Linked DNA regions of Caenorhabditis elegans. Changing the gene in region 1 together with any one later gene gives a genetic interaction. Each region holds a gene or a part of one and is shown on either strand. Other genes may lie near its edges.

Region 1 (3,594 bases):
TTTCTCTACTTTAACCGCAAAGAAACACGCTAAAACTTGGAAATTGACCTAAAAGTCGATAATTTCACAGAAATTTGTGCTTTTTCTGCGGAAACATTAGGAAAACAGTGTTTCAAGCGAAATATTACAGAAAAAAAACGGAGAAAGAGCAATAAATATAGCCAGAAAACGGGAGTTTTTGAAAAGTTGAAAAAAAATCCAGATTTCGAGGAAAACTTACTGGCTGGAAATGTATATTTCTTATTTAACAGCAGTTCTGTGCCAAAAATTTCAGCGTATCCCTTGACGAGCTCCAGACAGACATCCGAATCGTCTCCGGCGGCAAATCTCAGCTCACAGTCCTCTTTCAAAACGAACTCTTGAACATTCTCCTCGCTCATTTCTTTGGAATCTGAAAATGAGGCTTTATTGATTTTTTAATTTTCAGGAAAAAACGCGGAATTAGATAAAGCAAAGACATAGTTAATTTACAAAAAATTTGGGATGCGGAAAACTACAAAAGAAGAAAAAAACAATGGGTTTATTATTTTTGGAGGAGAGAAACCTCAAAACAGAACAAAAAACTAAGGAAAATAAACGAGCTGAAAGAAAATGTGCTACTTATTTAGATTACCTAAAAACGTCAACAGTAAAGTTATAAAAGACAGAAAAAACAAAACAATTGAAAAAATTTCAGAAAGCAATCTATTTGGAGATGAACTTCTTGATCTTGTCGAGAAGTCCAACGTATTGAGAGTGCTCGTAGTGAGTGGCATAGGCGACGAGAGTCTTGCAGAACCGAGCATCGAGACCGCGTTCTTCCAAATAACGAACGAACAGGAGATCGTGGAGGTCCTGGAATTAGAAAAAATCAATAATTTGCGGTCCTCTTGGGACTACTAACTGGATCGATATATTTTCCACTGCTAGCGTACACCTCGGATGGTACGTCCTCGTTTCCATTCTTGGCAGATGGGGCGACGTAGAACTCTTCGACGCGGAAATCATCTATAAATAGTATATATTTTATTCGAGTTTTCGATAAAATCGAGTATTACACTCATCAGGTTGATCGTCAACTGGCACAAGCTCGAGATGGAAGCAAAGTCTCTGATCTCCCTTGGTAATCTCGACGGTGAATGGTGGCATGGCTACTGGAACTGGAGCGACGGCCTGGGATGGCTCATCGTCGAATCCTTCGTCCATATCGACAGAGTGGTTCACATTGAAGACGACGAGAATGCTTTAAAAAAATTAACTTTAGAACTATGAAAAATTCTGAAAAAAACGAACTCTTCGCTTCCATTCTTCTTGGTCAGCCTAACTTCGGCGTCCTTATTGGTGACTTGGAAGCCAGCAAATGTCGGCGCAACGGCTCCTTGAAGATTGTCGCTGCTCAGCTGTTGCTCGGCTTCGATCTCACGGTTCAGGGCCTGTTGAAGTTCTGGCGTTACTGACAGAACCTTGGCCGATTGTGAGAAATGGCGTGGAGCGGCCATTCTGACGACCTGGGATGAACGGAGAGCCACTCGGGACAGGGAGCGAACAAGGGAAGCAGTGTTCATTTTACCTGAAAGAAGAAAAAAATAGAAAATTACATTTTCCAAAAATGATGCAAGTTTTTATCGAGCTAAAAATCAAGATTATCAGGTTATAAAGCGTTTCTAATTGATTTTAGGCTAATTTAGTTGTCAAAAATCAATAATTTCAATGAAAAACCTCGAAAAAATCAGTGGAAGCGTGCAGAACCGAAGAAAAAGCGAGAGAATATGCGAAAAGCCGACGAAAATAATTCAAATAGAGCCTTTCGTGGCAAGATATCTTCGCCGCAAAATGGCATGCGCCTTTAACTTGGCGCGCTTTGGAATTGTGTTCAAACGTTTTTCAGCCATATTTTCTCATTTTAAATCGATTTTTTCTTGTTTAAAATGATTTTAAAGTGCGTTTTCTTTGAAATTATTGACTATTGGGCTTAAAATTATATAATAAAACTGAAAATTGCCAGAAAAATCGATTTTTTGTTGTAAAAACATGGAATAGAGCTGCGCAGCTGGCGCGATGAGTCATGAGTCATTTGAAAAAGCAGCATTGCGAAATTTATGTTTAGAATTTTTTGAAGATTATTGATTAAACTAGGAGATTATCGATTTTAAGGAATATTTTTATACTTTTGAATTTTCGAATTTCGTGTTTCTGGCTAAAATCGTTGGTTTTTCTCGATTTTTCATTAATTTTCAGTTTTTCAGAAGTTTTTTCGTCTAGAAAACTTGTTTTCTGGCATTTTTCGGAATTTTTGAAGCTTCAGTGTATTTATTTCGAGGTCATAGCGTTTTTTAAACGGAAAAACTCTTTAAAATTCGAAAAATCATGTTTTAAATCAAATAATAATGAAAAATCTAGAAAAACCGATCTAGAAAACATTTATTTGCGCGGGAATTCAAAAATTATTCGGTTTTTTGTTGGAAAAATTAAAAAATCAAACAAAATTCAGGAAATCTTTATTAATTTTTCAGCAGTAATGTCCTGTATAGTGAGGATTTTTTCTGTCATTTAGGGCAAAAACTGGCGTACTTTCAAATTTAAAAAACCATTTTTTCGGTATTTCATAGTGTTTAGACCCCAAATTCCGTTCCCAAAACCTCCCAGAAATTAAATCGTATTCCGTATTCCGTCGGAATATCTTGTTTATCGGCAAGTCATCATATATACCTCCTCATTCCAATGTCCTTTCACACACATTCGAAAGGAACTGTCTCCGTATAAATACACAACGAATGGGAACTGTCTTCTCTCCGTCTCTTCACTCTCTTCACTGCTTCTCCCGTCGTTCCGAAGAATATCGATTGTTTTTCCGCTCTTTTCCGTTTATGTTATGTTTGCCAGTCATGTGAATCACTTCATAACGTTTTTTCTGCTTTCCGGAGAGAATTCTCCATTTTCTGCTACAGTTTTGAGGAAAAAAAAATTGCATTTCGTCGCATTTAATGTGAATTTTGGCCGGGGGAAAATATTAAACAATCTACATTTTTATACCGGGAATTGGGTGGGCGGCAAGTGCTGTTCGGCAAATCGCCAAATTGCCGGTTTGCCGATTTGCCGGAAATGTGTAGAGGCACTTTTTATAAGACGGAACCACTTAAAACTGCCTTTTTGGAATTTATATCCCGCTTTTTAAAGAAATTTTCATAGAAGTTGCTTATTTTTCAAAATAGACGTAGGAACATTCATAGGGTGCGTACAATTTTGCCGATTTAAATTGAAATTCTGAAATTTCCAAAAAAAGGTGCAAAACCACATTTTGCCGAAAATTTTCGGCACCTGTCGTTTTTCCGGCAGTTCGCCGATTTGCCAGAAATTTTAATACCGGCAATTTGCCGATTTTCCGGAAATTTTGAACTCCGGCAATTTGCTGATTTGCCGGAAATTTCAATTCCGCCAATTTGCCGATTTGCGGGAAATTTCCATATAGGCAATTTGCTGATTTGCCGGAAATTTCAATTCCGCCAATTTGCCGCCCACCCCTGACATTAACATTAATTGAAAATAATTGATGATTTTTCCAAGTTTTGCAAAAAAATTCCGGAACTTTTAAACTGATTTTCCTTGTTTTTTTTG
Region 2 (7,632 bases), on another chromosome or scaffold:
TCTTAATATGTACGTAAGACCTTCGAAGCCAAATCAAGTTAAACAGCAGGTACTGATTTATTTGATTCTATGAAACAGAAATTCCTTTTATTTTCGTAAAGATCCTAAAAGCTGACACGACAATGACTGCAAACGTAAACTTGTGGATCAATGGATCAATTATTGTTGGAAACTCAACGATTGAAAATTTGGATTTTAAGGTGAGATGTTTCATCCAATCATCTATGAATCATTCTTACTGAAGCTATGTAATTTCAAGTCGTACGACGTACGCCAAATATTATATGTTTTTATGTGTTTTTACAAATGGTAATTTAATCGAAACGTAAATTATTAATAGGCCTTTAAAATCACCAGAAAGCTCAAAATTGTAAAATAAAGAGGTTACGTAAAATGTAAATAGGCCCAATCTATCCCAATCTTCCACACTAGTTTAAAACATTTTGGGTTAAAGATGGAAAAATTTGAACTTGGGTAAGACTTGAATGCGATTATATGATATTTCACCAAGAAAATTGTCACCAATTTATTTTTTTGGAAGCCGGCCTGGATGTTTCAGTTTTGAGGTGCTAATCAAATTGTCATATTTCAGCTCCTTGAAACAAAAATCAACGATGTCGACCAAGATTCATTTTCCGACTTGGGATTATTTGGTGCTGAATTTTTAGAGAAGCTTCTCACTGAAATTCTTCAAATGGGAATTGCTCTGCCAACCATGCAAGGTGTAATTCTGAAGAGTCCAAAGTGAGTTTGAAACGAGCTCTATAATATGAATTTATTATAATTTCAGATTAACTTTCCACGATCGTTATCTGAAAGTTTCAACATATTTCAAACTTGACGAGGAATACGCAGGAAGTCTTGTCAGAGGAGCTGTTGGAAAAACGTTACGTGGACCATTGTGATGAATGACAAAGTTACCAAAAAACAGAAATATCGATATTTAGTTACCGGTTTATATGTACATTTCGAGAAAAGAATACTGATGAATATATAATAAATAAGTTATTATCTGCGAAACTGTTTGAAGAAATAAGGACAGTTTTCATCTCCGTAATTTGCAAAACTGCAAATAAAATTAAATATTTGCAAGGGACCAAAAATTGTTTTTTCTGTCGAATGTATAATATGAGAGTTTCGATTGAACGTGTCAAGTCTTTCATAGAGATTCTATTCAACAATTCAAACAATACTTTCAATCGAACAGGTATCATTTCATTCGTGATCATTCATTTCAATATCTTCTTGATCGTCAAATAAACTTATCTTTTCAACGTTTAACTTTCGTTCACATTACCAATGTACTTTTCTCATTTTTCTTTTTCTGTGGTTTTTAATCATTTCTCTACTGGCCAAGCTCCACCATTAATCTCAATCTGACAGAATATTATTTTGCTGAATTACAGGGAATCTTCAAAACTGGATCCAAATTATTTGCAATCGAGGGTTGTCCAACTATCGAATAATTTGTTATGATCAAAATTCTAGTCGTTTTTAAAGGTACAATTGGGTCTATTACTGGCTTAACAACCTGATGTGCATCGTTTAGTAATGTCAATTCGTATTTATTTGTCTCATATTGAACCCTTCCTAGTCACGCCACTTCACATAAAACCATCACCATGGAGTCATTGCGTTTCTATGTTTTTCTGCTCATTTTCTACTCTTTCTATATACTTTTGGATGTGACTTGATCATCTAAAGTCTCGCTTTTCACACAATTGTTTTTGACTTTTTCATTCAAAGTGCAAAAATTGTGTAGTAGATGTTTGATTTGTTACCTGTTATTCAAACAATCCATAAATCGGCACCCTTCCGTTTATATTTTGGAGATTTGTTGTTTCGAACACACATTTTTTTGCAGAAACATTTATAATGTCCAACGAACAAGAAGATTTTGGATCACTTTTTAACAACCAAGGAGAGTTAGGAATCATGGACGATTTTGCCGAGTTTGGGTAAGTAAGTTTTTAAACGGGTGATGCTGATAACATTTATAATCGTACTTTTTACGATGTGTCAAGATGTCTTAACCGTGCAATAACAGTTGTCTCTGCGTCTCAATTCCCGCATTTATTGTAGATCATATGGGACATGGAACAGCCTGACACCACGTGATTTTTCCGATAATAGTCACATTCAATTATGTTTACTTCTGTTTTTTAATGAAAAATAATTTGTAATTTTTCCGTGTCAAATAGTTTCCTAACTCCCGGCTGTTAACAAACTATTATAAAAGTCGCTCAAAACTTTTTTCAATGCAATTTTAGTTATGTAAACTTATAACAAAAGTAAATTAAAGGTGACTGACTATTTTTAGTCCAATATATATACCAATGTTGACAGGGTTTTACAAACTGGAAGCTATTTTTGATGATTCAAGCTTTTTATTTCAAAAATCTGTCTGACTTTTCTGGACTGCTCTACTCTATTGAAACTTTAAACTCAATTTTACAAAAAACAAGTAATTGAACTGTTTTCTCGGCTTGAAAAAAAACCTAGAATGTTCCAATTATTAGGCAACACCACTAAGTTATATCAGTAACTTCAACAAAACGTTTCAAACCAAATAAGTTTTATATTTGTCCAGCACACTATCACTTCCCCCGTAGACAGTGAGATGGAAATATATTGTTAACCTGACTGACTCGTTCCGACTTTTATAAGACAAGATGCATATTTCTCTCTCCGCCCTGTCTACGCATTTCTGTGTCTTGATCTTTTGAACCAAAAAGTTTACAACGGATGTCCTGGGGCGGAAACAATAAATACCTCTCTTTCTCGTAGTTTGCAACGTACCCGCTCTTCTTGAGTTCACCGGAATCAAAACACAATTATTGTATTTGCCCCTGTCTTTTCCTCATTTACATTTTGAAGTTTCCCCAAAAGTTCAGTATCGTGGTTTGTTACTCAATTTGCAATTCCTAGCAATTTTTAAAAAATTATGAAAGAAGTCCCCAAATATTCCAAGAAATTCAGGAAAATTTGATGAAAAATAGGGAAAAAACCACAATGTTCTCTTTTTAAATTTTTCAAAAAAAATTTTTTGTAAATAATTCGAAGTTTAGACTCCAACAGGCACAATCAAACAAACATCTAAAGCCGAAAATTATGATAATTTGTTTATCTCTACGAGCCTTTTATGAATCTGATCTCTTAACCCAATAAACGAATAATATCTTCTTGATCTATCTGACCTTTTCGTGTTACTGTTCTCGTCTCTTTTCCTGCAATCGGCAAATATTTGAGCACAGCGCAACAGATGGACCACACTTTGTAGACAGAGCCACGTTGCAGTGTTCTAGAGTCACACTATTTTAGGGGTTTTCGGTATGGATTTTTTTATCGATTTTTTTAAATTTATTAATTTTTATTCAATGAAATTTCCAATGTTGAAAAACATTAATTTGTTGGAAAGATGAAAAAATTAAAATTTCAGAGGGTAACTAAAAATATTTCGAATTTTATTTCGTAACTACCCCTCCTCGAACTATTCTTCTTCCGAACGGTAATAACGAACCTTTTGTCATCTTTCCCTAACCTTCTTTTGTTCATTTCTCTTATTCATTCAAAGTAGTCGTCATTGAAAATACAATTCAGATGACGTTCTCAACCTCGTCTTTTTTTCCATTTCCTTCTATTTATCGATCACGTGCTATCGTTCCCTATTACGCGCTCACTCCAACTTTTTTCTTCCTGTTAGGAGCAGAAGCTCACGTGTTGCCGATGCTCTGAGTATATTCGTTCTCTATTTCTCTCCGTTCTCTCTCTCTCTCTCTCTCTCTCTTCTCTCTCTTTTTCTCTCTTTTTTCCCATTTCTTTCCTCCTTTCACTTACATTTGTTGTGACAGAAAACACACACATACATACCCTAACGCTCACTCTCGCTCCTCTCCTCTCTCGTTTTTCCTATCTAGTTCTCAAAATATTTCTCACGTCTCTTCTAGTTCCAATACTATTTTTTTAACCGTCGACTTTTATAAACTGATGTCAGAAACGAGCGCAATTCCAAAAAGAAAGAGTATGACTGACGTCAACAAAGGTGAAAGTTCTTGATCTGTTTCCAATACTCATATACATATATTTATTTCAATTTTCTTCAAAAACTCTATATTTGGTTCTATTCTGCCAGATCTAGTTTTTAAAAAGGAACCATAGTTCGTTCCCGAATATGAAAAAAAGTTAAGTAGCAACATTTAATTTACCGCATCATACATTATCTAACATTAGATATATAGTTGAATACACTTTTTTCAAGAACGAGACAGCACCTGTCTGGCAACTTCACGTACACTCTTATGAGAGATAACAATCTAAGGTCGTGAGACTTGCCCTATAACAAGTCTAGTCGACTTTTTAATTTCTTCTAATACACCTGTTATGACGACACGTTGCTAGACTCTGACAATAAGGAAACTAGACCTGAAGAAAAAGTGAACATATTTTTTAAATGATTTTGTGTTTTTCACTTAGAAAATCGAATGATTTCAGTACATTTATTTTTATATTTATTTATCAAATGAATATCCCAAAACTATCTTCCTTCTATAGCATGCTGATAGAGAGCAAAAAAATTTAACTGAACCGATTTCAAAACCTCTAATACGACGTCATTATTTCTTATCTATAGGTATTCTGGCATTATTATGCACTCAATTGACTTTTTCTCTATTTTCACGTCAGCTAATTTCACCAACAACCCTCATATTCGTAATCCTTAGATAATCCCTTCCTTATAGGATCTCATTATCTCATAATTATTTCATTTTGTATTAATATCAAAGCCAACCGACTTCCTTGTTGTTTTGTGTTTTTCTTAACTCGTTTTAAATATTCGACTTTTCAGTTTTCAAACTACAACAACACCCACAAATTGGGCGGCTGCGGGGAATTATATGTACCCAGGTGAGTCAAATTGTAGACATGACAAAGTTATTGGAAAACTAGACAGAAGTGGCTATAACTGCAAAAAATATATTTATAAAACAGACGTTTTCAGTTCCTGATCTCAGAATGCCTCAAATCACATAAAATATAAATATGCTTCAATTTTTTGTTAGAAAACAATTATAAACATGAAAAATATCTTTAAAAATATTTCGTATGATTTCGATGTTTTTCAGACGATTTATTTCCGGTTTGTCATATGATTTAATATGAATCAGAAAGTTCTAAAACGAAAATTATCCAGCTTAAGTCCCTCATCATCCATATGAGTCACCGTGATCACAATCACTTGGGAAACAAGTTTCTGACTAATTTAACATTTGGAATTGAGCTTTTATTTTATTGTTCAAACTGATATACAAAAATTACAGATCAAGTTCACTTACCGGCAAGCATCAATAATCCAAACATGCCAATAAACGACTGGTTGGAAGATGCTCCAATGCCTGATTGCTATAATGTTCCGTCAACATCAACTGATGAAAATAATGATCCGTTTCCATTTTCAAATATGTACGTTTATTTGAAAGTTATACACATTCACATACCTCTTTTTTTAGCTCAAGCCAATCTTCTTTGAAACCAAAAACTCCTGAAAAGGCAGTAGTTGAAGTACGTCCTACTGGAAACGAGATGTTGGATCCTGAACCCAAATATCCAAAAGAAGAAAAACCGTGGTGTACCATATTTTACTACGAGCTGACTGTTCGAGTAAGTTCAAAATTATTTGAGAAAGAATTTCAAAAAACGGATAGCATAACAATGATATATTTTCAGCTAGGAAAAGCATTCGAAGCCAAAGTCCCAACAATTACAATCGATGGTGCAACTGGAGCAAGTGATGAGTGCCGAATGTCGCTTACATCTCAACCATCTTCGAGAAATTCAAAAAGCTCACAAATCCGAAACACAGTTGGAGCAGGAATTCAATTGGCATATGAAAATGGAGAACTTTGGCTAACTGTACTGACTGACCAAATTGTTTTTGTACAATGCCCATTCCTGAACCAGACATTGAATAAGCCACTGAAATATGTGTTTCGGTTGCAAAACAAAGGAGATCAAAAAAGAATGAAAATATTCGATAAGGAGCAGTTTGAACAGGAGAAAACATTGGCTCTCGGACCTTTAACTGAAAAAGAGGTGGCTGATGAACGAATGAGAATCTTCTCCAACATCAGAGTCTCTTTCTGTAAAGGATTCGGAGAAACGTATTCCCGTTTGAAAGTTGTGAATTTACCGTGTTGGATTGAAATTATCTTGCATGAGCCAGCTGATGAGTATGATACAGTGAGTTTTTAAACTTTAATGTAATTTTTCCTAAATTAAAAATATAATATTAAAACACAATTTCCGATAGTGCGGTCCAACTGCAGCTGAAATACCCAAGATCTCTGAAAATGTTGTACACCACTGAGCCGACTACTGAATTTTACTGGCTAGCAATTTTTGTATAGGCTTAAAGTATCTCCATTGAAGATTAAAGAATCGATTTTTTAGCCACCTGGATTCTTTCGGTGAATCAAGGCTATATTTGTTTCCGAAATAAATAGATAAATTAAAAAACTTCATGAAAGACAAATAATTAATAATTATATTCACATTTGTCTTATCCGGTTCTATTTATAAAATAATTAAACAAAATATGACTATTTCAATCATTAAAACAAAAACACAAAAAATTCAACATATGATCTAGTAATGGAATTAACTGTTAAGTGTATGGCATAGTTGAGACCATTTTGAATTTGAATTTGAATTTAAATTTAAACACTTGAAATAACACACAAAATTGTTTCAAGTAATTAAAGTTCCATTAATAATCTTCAGGTTTTCCGTATTAATAACGAACGGCCGGAAATAGGATCCCGATCATGATTGCTTCAATATTTTCACTTCAATGATTGGTTCTAAGCATTCGAATGCGTACCCGTTTGATTAATATTTCCATTTCTGTCCCAGTTTTTAATTTTCATTTCTTTTGGTTAAAAAATTCCCAGTCTCTTGAATGCTTTTCTAAAATCTTTAATTCAATTATTTATTAGAATCTTCTGTTTTGAGAACTTTGTAATGTAATTAAATAATTTGATGAAATGATTATGAATGCGAATAAATTATTAAAATAATATTAATAATACATTTTTGGTGGAAAGGAGAGGAACCTGAAACAATAAATTAGAAATCTGACGACAAAAGTGTCAATTGTGGAAATAAATAAAATGAGATGATCCCGTATGGGTTGGAAATGTCTTTAAATGTAGGATGAGCACAAAACTAAAAGAGCAAAGAAAACAGAGAACATTTTGAGAAAAATTAAGTCATAGTTTAGAAGAATTTCTTGCTTTTACAAGAATCAATAAAATGGAATATGAGTTCACAGCTGGCGTTTGGAGCATACATCTGCAAATAAGGAAAATTAACATGATTGTGAAAAAGTGATTTGATTAAATGTGTCTCTGTTGTAACACCAACAACAGGAATTCACAAAAGAGCACCAAAAATACGTAACAGATAGGCACGTAGTCACTCCTAAATGCCTACCTGTAGTGGCAGCCTTGATTTCTATATTTTAAAATTTACCTGCAGGAAGGGACAGTTGCCTCTCGCCCATTTCGAGACATCTTTGATACTAAAACTCTTGGCCAGTTTTGTTATTTTTGCACAACTCTCTGCGGTAGCTTCCTG

What was found.
Region 2: of cri-3 (region 1) and daf-14, changing one enhances a phenotype caused by changing the other (phenotypic enhancement), as found in Caenorhabditis elegans (one study listed by BioGRID).

What each region holds. Positions count from the first base shown.
Region 1 is NC_003281.10:3,394,540-3,398,133, reverse strand, and holds cri-3 (Conserved regulator of innate immunity protein 3), read right to left. Parts: upstream 1,550-3,594; 5' UTR 1,545-1,549; coding exon 1,273-1,544; intron 1,223-1,272; coding exon 1,038-1,222; intron 988-1,037; coding exon 884-987; intron 835-883; coding exon 685-834; 3' UTR 507-684; downstream 1-506. Other genes in the region: Protein clpf-1, read right to left, coding at 221-380.
Region 2 is NC_003282.8:10,248,771-10,256,402, forward strand, and holds daf-14 (Smad-related protein daf-14), read left to right. Parts: upstream 1-1,856; 5' UTR 1,857-1,875; coding exon 1,876-1,958; intron 1,959-4,846; coding exon 4,847-4,905; intron 4,906-5,318; coding exon 5,319-5,460; intron 5,461-5,507; coding exon 5,508-5,658; intron 5,659-5,724; coding exon 5,725-6,237; intron 6,238-6,777; coding exon 6,778-6,825; 3' UTR 6,826-7,082; downstream 7,083-7,632. Other genes in the region: F01G10.10 (BPI2 domain-containing protein), read left to right, coding at 1-49, 102-200, 593-744, 791-905; F01G10.9 (aECM cysteine-cradle domain-containing protein), read right to left, coding at 7,273-7,347, 7,528-7,632. UniProt on the Caenorhabditis elegans protein: Probably an atypical receptor-regulated SMAD (R-SMAD) that is an intracellular signal transducer and transcriptional modulator activated by TGF-beta-like daf-7 signaling.